Linked DNA regions of Neurospora crassa OR74A. The protein of the gene in region 3 interacts with the protein of the main gene of each other region in a pairwise test. Links are inferred from orthologs where the notes say so. Each region holds a gene or a part of one and is shown on either strand. Other genes may lie near its edges.

The links.
Region 1: the proteins of bni1 (region 3) and NCU06397 interact in a two-hybrid assay, tested with the Saccharomyces cerevisiae proteins (3 studies listed by BioGRID). The link is inferred for Neurospora crassa OR74A from reciprocal best matches to the Saccharomyces cerevisiae genes BNI1 and PFY1.
Region 2: the proteins of bni1 (region 3) and rho-1 interact in a two-hybrid assay, tested with the Saccharomyces cerevisiae proteins (2 studies listed by BioGRID). The link is inferred for Neurospora crassa OR74A from reciprocal best matches to the Saccharomyces cerevisiae genes BNI1 and RHO1.

The regions. Positions count from the first base shown.
Region 1 is NC_026504.1:2,646,502-2,650,209, reverse strand, and holds NCU06397 (profilin), read right to left. Parts: upstream 2,539-3,708; 5' UTR 2,090-2,538; coding exon 2,077-2,089; intron 1,961-2,076; coding exon 1,945-1,960; intron 1,759-1,944; coding exon 1,674-1,758; intron 1,434-1,673; coding exon 1,281-1,433; intron 1,143-1,280; coding exon 1,008-1,142; 3' UTR 564-1,007; downstream 1-563. Other genes in the region: NCU06396 (Got1 family protein), read left to right, coding at 1-217. UniProt on the Saccharomyces cerevisiae protein: Binds to actin and affects the structure of the cytoskeleton. At high concentrations, profilin prevents the polymerization of actin, whereas it enhances it at low concentrations. By binding to PIP2, it inhibits the formation of IP3 and DG.
Region 2 is NC_026502.1:3,340,991-3,345,058, forward strand, and holds rho-1 (rho-type GTPase), read left to right. Parts: upstream 1-1,209; 5' UTR 1,210-1,671; coding exon 1,672-1,742; intron 1,743-1,878; coding exon 1,879-1,906; intron 1,907-2,170; coding exon 2,171-2,368; intron 2,369-2,439; coding exon 2,440-2,574; intron 2,575-2,675; coding exon 2,676-2,831; 3' UTR 2,832-3,710; downstream 3,711-4,068. UniProt on the Saccharomyces cerevisiae protein: Acts as a central regulator in the cell wall integrity signaling pathway, which is regulated by the cell cycle and in response to various types of cell wall stress.
Region 3 is NC_026505.1:4,767,519-4,771,775, forward strand, and holds the start of bni1 (cytokinesis protein sepA), read left to right. Parts: upstream 1-1,433; 5' UTR 1,434-1,980; intron 1,981-2,398; 5' UTR 2,399-2,776; coding exon 2,777-4,257. Other genes in the region: NCU01432 (hypothetical protein), read right to left, coding at 28-54. UniProt on the Saccharomyces cerevisiae protein: Required for the assembly of F-actin structures, such as actin cables and stress fibers. Nucleates actin filaments. Binds to the barbed end of the actin filament and acts as a leaky capper, slowing both polymerization and depolymerization.

The DNA.
Region 1 (3,708 bases), on a different chromosome or scaffold from region 3:
TACGGCGGCTTTTTTCTCCGGTCTGGCTTTGATTTTGATGCGCTGGCCTTTGATCGGCTTCTGCGTGGAGCTTTATGGGATCATGATCCTCTTTGGCGACTTCCTGGGAACGATAGCGGGTTTCGCGCGCAACATTCCTGTTATTGGACCTTATATCGGCACCGCGGTTGATCGGTCTGGTGTGGTAGCGAGGCAGAATGCGGATTTGCCTGTTTAAATGGAGGGATTGAGTGTTGAGGGGAAAAGGCGAGGGCGCCGTGGCATAGTGCAAACGTGCCGAACGAGGATATGGTCTGGGCCATGGCGCCGCTCTTCGAAAGCTCACGAATACTCGCTTTGCCGTTCGGTTGAATGACATCGGCGGGTCGGGCGCAAGACAGGTTCAGCGCTCGCGCTATGAAAGGGAGGGCAAAAGAAAGAATACGAGGCGAACGGGAACATGAACGAAGAAACGACGGTTGTGAAACGAAAAGGAGAGGGAACGCCTATGAAGGGTCTAATGCCCACGATCAACATGCACATTCACACAAACGGCGTTGGAGCGAACTTTGGGATACCCAAGTTGTAATATGAAGAGGGAAGTATCGGGCTTTCTTTTCATGCATAATTTTGAGAGGAAGAATCAAATACTATAGATGGTTCCGGGGTGGGGGGGGTGTTAAATTGTCTACAAAATCACGATACCATATAACCCCAATGATGGAACAACGGACGAGGAACGTTTTTCACCACCGGCAGCCTCGACTGACATGGAAAGGCAAATTCCGCCAAAGTGTGCTGTCAGTTCCAGAAAAAAAAAATTCCCAAGGGCCTATGCCTGTTTAAGGATATCATCCATCCAGTACACCAGTCCCCAATACTCCTTCACAGGAAAGTCTTTCGGTTTCTTTTCCGTCTTCCCATCTTTCGTCTTCCTTGTCTTCATCCCGTTTTCATTTGTTTCTTGTTCAGTGACTCTTAAGACATCCAATCATCTCATCCTTCTTCCCACTACCTCCCGACATGACTTAGTATCCGGCCTTGACGAGGTAATCGGCGAGCGCCTCGACGGTCTGTGTCGAGTTGCCGGCGACAGCGTTCTCGCCGTAGTGGGCGACGAGGATGGCCTGTGTTGTCTTGACGATGATGACGCCAGTCTTGCCCTATTTTTGGGGGGAAGAAAAACCATCAGTGAGCTTGAACATACGAGGCTTGGAAAGGGGATGCCTGGAGCAGCGCGGCCGACTAAAGTTCGGGCGTCTGAGGTTGAGACACGATAAGGGGATAGAGATAGTACGCACCTGGCGACCGTAGACGTGGCGACCCTCGATGTTGAAGGCAACGTAGCGCTGACCGGCAACGTGGAGACCCTCAGCGAAAACCTTGTCAACGTTGGAGCCCTTGCCATTATCGCCGAGGACGGCGGAGATGAACTTCATCTCATCGGGGCTCAGCTATAATACGTCACAGATTGTTAGCTTTCTCTGGAACTTTGGCGCCCGATACATCGTCGGGGGGTCCTATCACGCCATCAACCCCGCTCTCTGCTTCCCCGGTGCAAACAGCCTCCCTGACCAGGATTTCTCGGACATTGTAGATGTCCGACCGTTTATGCGCCCGAAGGAGAGACAGAGATGAGGGCAGGGAAAGGGTGCGGGCAGAAATCGGGGGGAAGTTGGCGAGACAAGGCGTACCGTGAAGCCGGGAGTCGCAGCCCAGGTGCTGTCACCAGCGGCGCTGATGATGGCGGCCTTATCGATGTGGCCGGTGCCAACAAGGCTATATGTAGGAGATTACGTCTTAGCTCATCATGTCCATGTCCGTTTCCATGTACAGGTGGTTCTCCGCATTCTTGGGGCCGAAGCCGAACAACCATCAGGCGCAGGCAATCACACCCCTAGCAGTCGATGGCGTCGCAATTCGTTGTGTTCATGGGTTCGGGTGGTTTCCAATGGTATATCGTACCTCGAGTCAACATAGGCTGTTCAAGACATTCGGGGTTAGCTTGCTTATTCTCCCAGCTTCCGTCGAGGTGGGGTTGGGCGTGAAACAGCTCCCAAGGACGGGAAGAGGGCCCAGGCGGAAACAGGCACTGACCTTGCCAGGACATTTTGTCGGGATTTGTGTGATGTTGGTGTGATGGAAAGGACTCGGTGGTTGAGTTGAAGGAGGAGTGTATCGACAGACAACGACGACGAAGAAGCTGGCTTTCGGGGAGGATTAAAAAAAGGGAAACCCAAACAAACGCGGCTCGGTTGGCAAAGGGGGGAGGGGGGCCGGTAGTCTTGGGGGGGCTAAGCGGCGGCGGAAGATAGCGGAGCGGCGACTGGATACCTCTATGGATTGGATGCGAAAAGGGGAAGCGGTGACATGACAGTGGAGGGGAACGACTCACTGGTCCCCCTGGGATTCTAGTGGGCTAAACCGGGAAGCCAGCGAAGGCCAGCTGGTGAATGGGGCCGGGTAACGGTGCCTGGTGGTTGTGGATTCCCGTTGTGTGGATTGGAAGAGAAGCTCTTGAGAGGAGCCCCCTCACCAGCCAGGCCCCTCCTCGTCACTAGGTAGGTTCAGCGAGGTGCCCCGCCAAAGGAAGTTGCCTGGACGTTGACCTCTTCGGAGTCGCGGAGGGGTTCGGCAGGTGAGACTTACTTGTACACTAGGTAGGTATGTATCTCTTTAACATACGATCGTATAAACTCAACACGGTGATTGTTAGCAGACAGCCTCTAGGACCAAGCATCCTTCCATCGACTCCCAGCGGCATTTCCAAGCTGGATCGACGGGAGCAACCGAAGTGGTCAACAGTGGGCCCCTCTTCAACAAACAGGTGGCAGCTTCTTCTTCATCCAGACTTGGAATTCTTCACCGTTCTTTTGCAGGGCCGTGGAATTCCACGACCCCATTCCGCCTCATTGACCGCCGAGACGGACAGCAAGAAGAGTTTGCTGTCGTACTCTCGACGTTTCAGTCTGACATCAACAACAGTATGAAGATATTCTGACAGACGTCCATCTTCTCTGATGCTGTGCCCCAACACCATGTTGGGTTCATTGCTCCGATGCCCCTCATTCATCTCAACAAAGAGGAGCAGCAAAGTACGCCCGTTGTCTGCATGGCGCACACATCAGTGAAGATGATGACGGGGTTGGAAAGCACAGAAAACAGTTTGCATATGACGCCAAGAGGGTCAAGCATTCGGATCCATCCCGCTGTCGTCCCAACAACAAGCGGAGCTCCTTGAATGCAGACGCATGCTCTAGCGTTCGGCTTGCCTCGTGGATGTCGGTTAGTGCACGGCGAATCAGAGATCCATTCAGCACCTCTTTCCTCTAGACCTCCATTTCATCCAACATGACAAACTTCAACAAAGAGACGACGGGACCCAGGCGCCAACAACAGGCACAAATCCCTGAGGTATAAGCTACCTATCTAAAGGTATGGTGAAAACCAAAGGTTACCTGTTCAAGCCGGCAGCTCCTATATCATACGAATCTTGGCTCAAGGGCGTGTGATGTCCAGGGTTCCAGTCAGGCAGGCTGTCGCTGACTGGAGTTGTGCATCTTTGAGACGTAGCCTCGACATTTTCGGATTCATAACCGGCCCCTTTTAACATCATTAAACCGAAGTCTTGGCGCGCTGGTGGACATCAGAATTGCTGGCCTGAGAGTCTAGCGCCTGGCTCTGACAGCATGGTAAAAGACGTACACATGTAAGATACACCGCATGCTT
Region 2 (4,068 bases), on a different chromosome or scaffold from region 3:
CCGCTCCGTCTCTTGGTATATACTGTGTAGTGTATCGACAGCCGAGAGGAAATGGGGTATAGTGTGGTGTACATACTGCGTATGCCAACAAGACAGGAGCTTCCATGTTTTTAATATCATGTCCCGTCCTTCCTCCCACCCCATCCCCTTCCTCCATGTTCACTACTAGACTGTCAAGAGAGTCCTGGACCCTGATAATGGATGGCTGAGAACAAAGCCCAGAGCTATCAGCAAATTACTACCTATGTAGTGTACACTAGGGACACCCAAAATAGGCGACCGGAAGGAAGAGGCCCATGGCGCACTGTGCCTGTTCCTGTACCTTTTGGCGTTGGTTCAGGGGTTCTGGGCAGGCAGTCTGGAGATTAGCAGTTATCGCCGCCGCCCACTGGACCATCTTTGCTGCTGGAGACTCGCCTCGCCTGCCTTCGCTCGCTCGCAAAGCTTCCACTTCCTCTGAGTACACTACTAAAATCCTGGGGGGCCACGGCAGCAGCGCGTGCTTTCCCCCTTTGATCGACAGCCAGCCGAGCCAGCGCAGCGTGTCGGGTGTCGGATTACTGCGGTATGGATGTCTAAAAGTGGTTCGAGTGGTAATTTGGCCCGTCCCCACCGTGCACTTTTGCGCTTGTCATCAAAGTTGAAGAAACAAAAAAAAAAAAAAAGGTCGAGAGTCATGTTCGGGAGATGGCCTTATTAGCCTTATGCAGCAAGTCCGGGGTAGCGAAAAAGGGGAACAGGAAGGAACATGACGACGACGATTTCAAGGTCGGTCCACTATTAATATCACCAAAATCAGCTCTCTTTTCGCGTGCAAATAGCTGAATTACGGTAATGGAGGTGACGGTGTTAATTGTAGAAGAGGACCGGTACGTACCGCTTGCTGAGGATTCGGGCCACTCACAAGTCACATCAAGCCAGCACCTCCCTTGTCTGGCCCTTTGCTCTTGGCTCGTCTCGCACCCCTACCGGCTCCTGTACAAGTGATGGGGTATTCCGACACAAAATGCAGTATCTAGGTAGGGACCTAGTGTGTTGGATGAAAAATTAGGTCGGTAGGTGTCGTCTGCCTTCCTCTTACCACACAGTACCTGTAGCCTCCAGGCTGCGACTGCTGCCAGATGGGACTGTGTGAACCCGACTGAGTGACTGCCTGTGCCTGGACAGCCCGCCCGTTCCCTGGGGCTTCTCTGGGGCTACCCACTGCCTCGCTCACCTCACCACACACGGCAGCACCCACTGCCCTCCCAGCCCAGTCTGACTGCCCGGCCCTGGTTCGCTGGCTAAGGTTTCCACCCTCTTCCAACCTTGCCCGTGGGAGTCCTGCACCTGGCTATCTGGTGGTCCCCCCGTCCCCGTTCCCCGTCTCCGTCTCCGTCACAACACAACTCACAACTTGAACAGGTTAGCACACCACCAGCGGCCACTACCTACCTACCTACCACCACCACCGTCCATCCTTCAACAACCACCCAACACCCCCATCTCCATTTTCCTTCCCTTTTCCATTTTGCATCTTTTATCGACCAAATCCAGGCCGCGTGATACCCTCTCCCGTCCTTTGCATACAACCCGTCGACAACGAACAAAGCACCGTCCGTCGACATCACTCAACTCAACTAAACAACTTAATCTCTCCTCCCCTATTCACACAACCACCAAACCGACGCCATGTCTGCTGAACTCCGCCGAAAGCTCGTCATCGTTGGCGATGGTGCCTGCGGCAAGACCTGTTTGTTGATGTATGTCCATTTCCCCTATCCACATCCAAGAGATTGATGCTGCTCTTATAAGGCGCGCGTCGTCGTCGTTGTCGTCGTCGTCGTCGTCACCGCCGCTCTCCCCCCATCACAACCTTTTTGCTAACCGAATTTCCAGCGTCTTCTCCAAGGGAACCTTCCCCGAGGTAAGTCAGGCACTTGTCTGTCGGGACTGAGACGTCCATCTACACACCTGCCCTCGACCGTCTGTTCGCTACACCGCCCCAACCGCCTGACGAAACACGCATCTTCCTGCCAATTCCCGCGTCTCGCCTCCCCCCCCGAACAGGCTACATCCATCTCCTCAGCCCGATGAACCATCAAGCCATCAAATTCGAAACACCCGCCCTGTCGCCATCATATCCGCATCCGAATAAGCGCTGCTCAGCCAGCTAACTCTCTGCGCCCAGGTCTACGTCCCTACCGTTTTCGAGAACTACGTCGCCGATGTCGAGGTTGATGGCAGACACGTCGAGCTCGCGCTATGGGATACGGCTGGTCAGGAGGATTATGACCGTCTCCGTCCCCTGTCCTACCCCGACTCTCACGTCGTCTTGATCTGCTTCGCCATCGACTCTCCCGATTCGCTCGACAACGTTTCCGAGAAGGTCAGTATCCCGCCTGCTTACTTGGCGCGCCCTTGTCTTTGAGGCTACAATTCGCTAACAATCAAAAACAGTGGCACTCTGAGGTTCTTCACTTCTGCCGTGACGTTCCAATCATCCTCGTTGGCTGCAAGAAGGATTTGCGCCACGACCCCAAGACCATTGAGGAGCTCCGCAAGACCAGCCAGAAGCCCGTTTCCCCCGAAGAGGTACGTGAGGCTGAGACATTGGCGGCTGATGATGCCCCTTTTGTTTCCAAGTGCTTTCCCTCCGCTTGCTCGGGAATGTATGCTAACGCGCTCATCAACAGGGTGAGGCTCTGAGGAAGAGGATCAACGCCCACAAGTACCTCGAGTGCTCGGCCAAGACCAACGAGGGTGTCCGTGAGGTGTTCGAGAACGCGACAAGAGCCGCCCTTCTCAAGAAGACAAAGACGAAGAGGGGCCTCTGCAAGAGCTCGGTCTAAACAAACCCACAGCTCTTTAGAGAGATGCTTTTATTTCTACCGCACGACGAACAACATCATCTGCACCAAGCCCTCCCCGGATAGCCTCGCAACATGTAATCAAGCAACGGTTTTCAAAGCGAAAGATGATCATCACCTTAGTTGATAATTCTCTGCCCATGACGCCGTCAATGCTGCTACCGAGCGGATAATATTTCACAGAGAGAAGAAGAAAGGGGTGTGGAGAGCGCAAATGGGGAGGGGCTTGGGATTTCGGGGATACTTATGGGCCTTACTACTCGATATTTAGGGAGGATAACTGGGTCTGGACTCCTTTCCACTATTTCTGTGTGTGTGTGTGGTCGGCGTGGACGGGTGCGTGGCTTGTGTTCATGTATACACAAACGGAGGACACCTGAGGGCGGTAAAGGGAAAGAGAAAGACTGGAGAAAGGAGTTTTGCGGTTCAATATTTCTTGTTTCTTCTGGAATCACATGCCGCGTCTCTGGCCCCCCTTACCTGTCTCCTTTATTTCTCTTTCTCTGTCACTGCCCGTGTGCGTCTGTCTCTTATCTCTCTCTCTGTGTCTACCTGTCTGTTATTAATCTCTAGTTTTATCGCGTTCTTGTTTATCTGTCTCCGTCTGCTGCTGCCGCTGCATGGTTCAAATTGGGATTTTGAGATTGAATGTTCCGTATAGTTTGGGCGATCGGCATGGCGAGGCCGCCGAATGTCCCTGCTACTTCCATAGACCGTTGACGACAATTGCTGTTACCTACTGTACATCCTCAGACCATTCATTGCCCGTCCCCTCTTGCAATACTCATGTCAACCACTGACACGAGCACAGACTTCTTCTACGTCAGTCAGCCCGTTTGTCTACTTAGTCTTTGAATCCGAAGTTCAGTAATCATCACGCTTTGCCGACTATGCAATCCGACGGGAGAGGCCGCCGCCAGCTCCAGACCCAAACGTGAAACAGTTGATTGAATGAAGGACGTCATGTCTATCAAGGGTAAACCTAGTTAATGTTCCCGAGTCATCACACTCAGCGCGTGAGGTATGCCAGAAAGGCATGATTGGTCTTGACAGCCAACGAAGCTAACACTTGCAAGTAAGCTATGATGTGCCATACATTATACACTTTGCATCTCGAACACTCTCTGGGACTTCTTCATCATAGCCAACAGAGGGGGGAAAGAAGCGGTAAACATAACACTTTCAAAAGAATATATATAAATATATATACGCTCCCCGC
Region 3 (4,257 bases):
GAATGTCTGTGTCTTTGTCTTGCTCACCTTGATCGCGGAAAAGTCGGCGCCCATGATGACGACAACCTGGCCCGCTGCCGTGCAAGGACTTCAACGAGTCCAGTTACAGAATGTGATAGTCTCGGCTGAAGAGGCCTTGAGGTTGTGATAAAAGGCTATGAGGCTGAACAAGCCAAAAGTGGTGGCCGCGGCGTAAAGTGCCCCTGTTGCCTACGGAGGTTCCGCTTGCGACAAACCTATGTAACATATACAAATGCGGCACGTAATCGCGTGCGGAAAGGTGTACCTGCGCTAACTGCGCGCGCAGTACATACTGTAGCCACCTGGGCTTGACAGCCCAGACGTTGTGGAACAGTGCACTGTAGAGTTCCTGGACTGGGCTCACCCGGCCCTTCCATGTATCGGGTCTCTGTGGCATGGCCCGACTGAGCGAGGCCCGGGCCCAAAATAGCAACGGAACGACACCCTCAAGGTTGATGAGATGCAGAAACCTAACAAACTGCCCTGATGATCCAGGGGTATCGACGGCCTCATGTAGGGATCTCAGAGGATGTCTTTCCAACCAACAACATCTGTTCCTATACAGTTTTGGACCTCCACAAGTGTGTTTCTCGCTCATACCTCTAGCTTGAGGACTTTTATTCTTTTGTCTTCAGATCATCTTGACCTCTTTTGGTTGGGATAGTGAGACGCAGGGATGATGATACTCGGATAGAACGGTGATGATTGGGCAAGGGATCATGAGCCAATCTTAATACCAGTTCGATGTGATTCCATCATATCAATCTGCCCCCACCAGGGGCAGTTTGGGAAGGTGGAGGATTAAGCCAAGTCATAGTTCCAGCCGCTATGCCTACTTATGCTATTGTATGGATGTACGCAGTACATAGTAATGTGGACATATATGGCGCCGCTGAATGTGCCACCAATGCATACGAAGATGACCTTTATCACCATTATGCGTATTGTTTCAGGTTGACCAGCGGCCTTTTCAGTGCTCAGTTGACAAGTTTCTATCATTGAGTTTCTTTCATCCTATTCTGTGCCGATTTGTGGTTCCATCACTTATATGAACCATCGGTTAGGTTCAGATGATGGATGTTTCGGATGGTGGATGGGAAAAAGAAAGAACGGAAGAAACCCGGACAGTCCCTGCGTCTTGACCACTAACAAATTCCCCGCCTGTGATTCAAGACATCAGGGGTGATGATGTGCCCAGCTAAGCCGCTTTCAGCGCATCGAGACCCCCTTTGCCGTGATGTTGAGGTCTCCCACCAGAAGGTGCAGCTGTTAAGAGAGTGCACGGTGCACCCTCCCGCGCCATGCTGGAGTTGCCCCTGCGATTGCCGAGCGTTGTTAGGTTCGCGTTCACACGGCAAGGAACCCCAACCTCACTCTCTCTCAAGTGATCTCTCATTCGGCTCATTCAACCACTTCACCTCAGTCCAGTCTCGCTGCAACTTCTGAATGGTCATCTGCCTCTGCCTCTCCTTTTCCCGAGCTTGTCTCTATAGCTGATAATTCGCGGGTGAGCCAGCCACCACCGGACAACGCTCCACCCGTCGTCGTTGCCATTGCTCCTTTTCTTTCCCAATCATCGCTCATAGAAGACCACCATTCATTTGCCGCCCGATCTCAAATCAACCTTCAATTTCGTCCGAGTGGGTAACTAAGCCCGTCCAAGACAGGCCCTCCAGTGCCCCACGCGCGCGCGCGCTTCCACCCCAAAGTTAGGTACCGCCAACGACCTGGGCCAAATCCACCAGACCCCTCGAACGGGAGAGTCCGTCCCTGACGAGCCCTGACGGTTTGACCAACGAACGGCATTTTGTTCTTCTCCTAGTTCAGCCTCGGCGTAGCTGTCTAAGTACTCTGGCACTTTTGGTAGTGAGCGAGCTGAGCGTCGCATACCTACCTACTCATCACCCCTCCTTGCCGTCAGCCAGGTCGCCAGTATACTGCCTCTACACTACACACTAGGTAGGTAACTACAGTACTCTATCTATACTTCCAACACGAGATCCAGAAGTCGAAGTCGACGACATCCTACACTACTACCTAGGTATTTCCAGGTTTCGCCGGCTACGCTACACGGACAGACGCGGGTACGGATATTTGCGCCCGCTCGTACATTTGCGACTTGACCCCTTTGACTTTCACTTGAGTTCCATTCCCTTCGAAGATCTGGATTGTATTGCCAACACGGTCTCGATGCAGTCTAGTTTGGGTCAGCACACATCCATACACATCTCGCCCGAGTGCGCTCATCCCACCAGCTAGCAGTGCTAGCAGCTAGCCTATCTCGAGGCCCGCCTCTGCGCAAAAGCTTGCCCGGGCACGGCTACCCTCCGAACTCCTCAACTTGACCTCATGCTAAAAACACCAATGGTTCATGCAGCAGGAAGGCCATGCTCACCAACCGTTATTGCCCGCAAAGAACATGATGCGATCCACCCAGGGCCTCAGACACCGAGTCCATTGACGGCATTTGCTCCGTATCCATTTCAACGCACTCATTTACCAATTGACCCACCCGCGCATTGATTGCCTATACAACTACCCACTCCGCGCCTCGAGACGAGACCCGACCCGGCCCGGCCCCTCGACACCCCTCGACGCCCCTCTACAGCGATCCAGATACCCACGATACCCGCTCGCCTATTGCTGAGGAACCACCCCCGAACAACACGTAGGCAGCTTGCGCTGCTGGGACTGTACTCTGGTGTACTGCCCTGCCGGTAGCGAAGCGGCCGCTTCACACATCCCGTCCCGCGCCATGTCCTCCCACGACAAGAATGGGAGGGCTACCTCCTCGAGCGGCAAGGCCTCCTCCTTCTTCTCGAGAGCCACTGGCAAGAACAAGGCCGACAAACGGAACGCAAGCGATGAGGGTGGCCGATACCTTGCCGCCGACAACGACGCCGCCAGCACCCATACCGCACGCAGTTCGCGCCATTACCGGGACTCGTCTGTAATATCGCTGGACCGTCCCGACACGCCCGAATCTGGCCTCAACATGACGGCAGGGGTCGTCACGACGATCCCCTATGACCCTGTTTCCCCCGACAATCGCTCCCCCGTCGCCCTCGACCACCTTCCCAGGCCCGACCAAATGCCCCTAAGGCGAGAGCTAGTACCGCACCACCTCAACAAAGGCACTGGTGACTTCCACCAGTATCCCACCATCGACCAAAGCCCAAGCTCCCCCTATAATGGGCAGTCACCCAGCGCATCAAGTTCGCGCTCAACTCTCGCTACTGCTAACATCACCATGGCCTCCACGGGCCGCCAGGCCCAGTTTCAGCAATGGGGACCACCGAGAGAGAGCAGTTTGCCCGGGTACAATTCCAGAGGCCACTCGTACATGACAACCCGCAGTTCGGGCGACAATGCCAGCATCTACTCAGGTAGGGACGGACACTACCAAGAAGCCCCAGGAACCAGCCATCGCTCATCCAGGATAGGACTCCCTAGTACTTCGTCTCAGTCATCCTACCTTTCTCCCCATGCCCATAAGGACAGAGATACCCAGCGGTTAACCAAGGTCGCTGCCGGCCACCAGGGCTCCGAAGGATTCAACTTTCCCAAGCCAGACGATGACAATGTGATTGAACAGATGTTCATAAACCTGATGCAAAAGCGAGGATGGCACAACCTCCCGGACCAGGCCAAGCGCCAGATGATCGCATACCCCGCCGCGAAGAAATGGACCTTGATTTACCAGGATCGACTCACCGAGTGGCAGGGCGAACAGAAGCGCAGACAGACGGCCAAGATTGGCCAATACAGCAATGTCGATATTACCCAATCCTCCGATGACGAAGGCAGCCCCGAGTGGTATGTGCGCAAGGTCATGGAAAACGCTCTGGACAGCAAAGGGCTCGGAGGACTCGAAGTCAACCTTCGGACACAGCAGATCGGCTGGGTCAAGCGCTTCATCGACTGTCAGGGACAGATCGCCTTGACCAATGTCCTGCTAAAGATGAACCGAAAGACTGCCTATGGACCTGCTCAGCCGGATAATGGAAGATTGGATAAGAATTTGGACCGAGAATATGACATTGTCAAATGTTTGAAGGCTCTTATGAACAACAAGTTTGGCGCAGACGATGCGCTAGCTCACCAACAGGTTATTGTGGCTCTGGCCACCTCCCTTATATCACCTCGGCTCACCACCCGGAAGCTTGTCAGCGAAGTCCTGACATTCCTCTGCCATTGGGGCGAAGGCAAGGGCCATGTCAAGGTCATCGAGGCCAT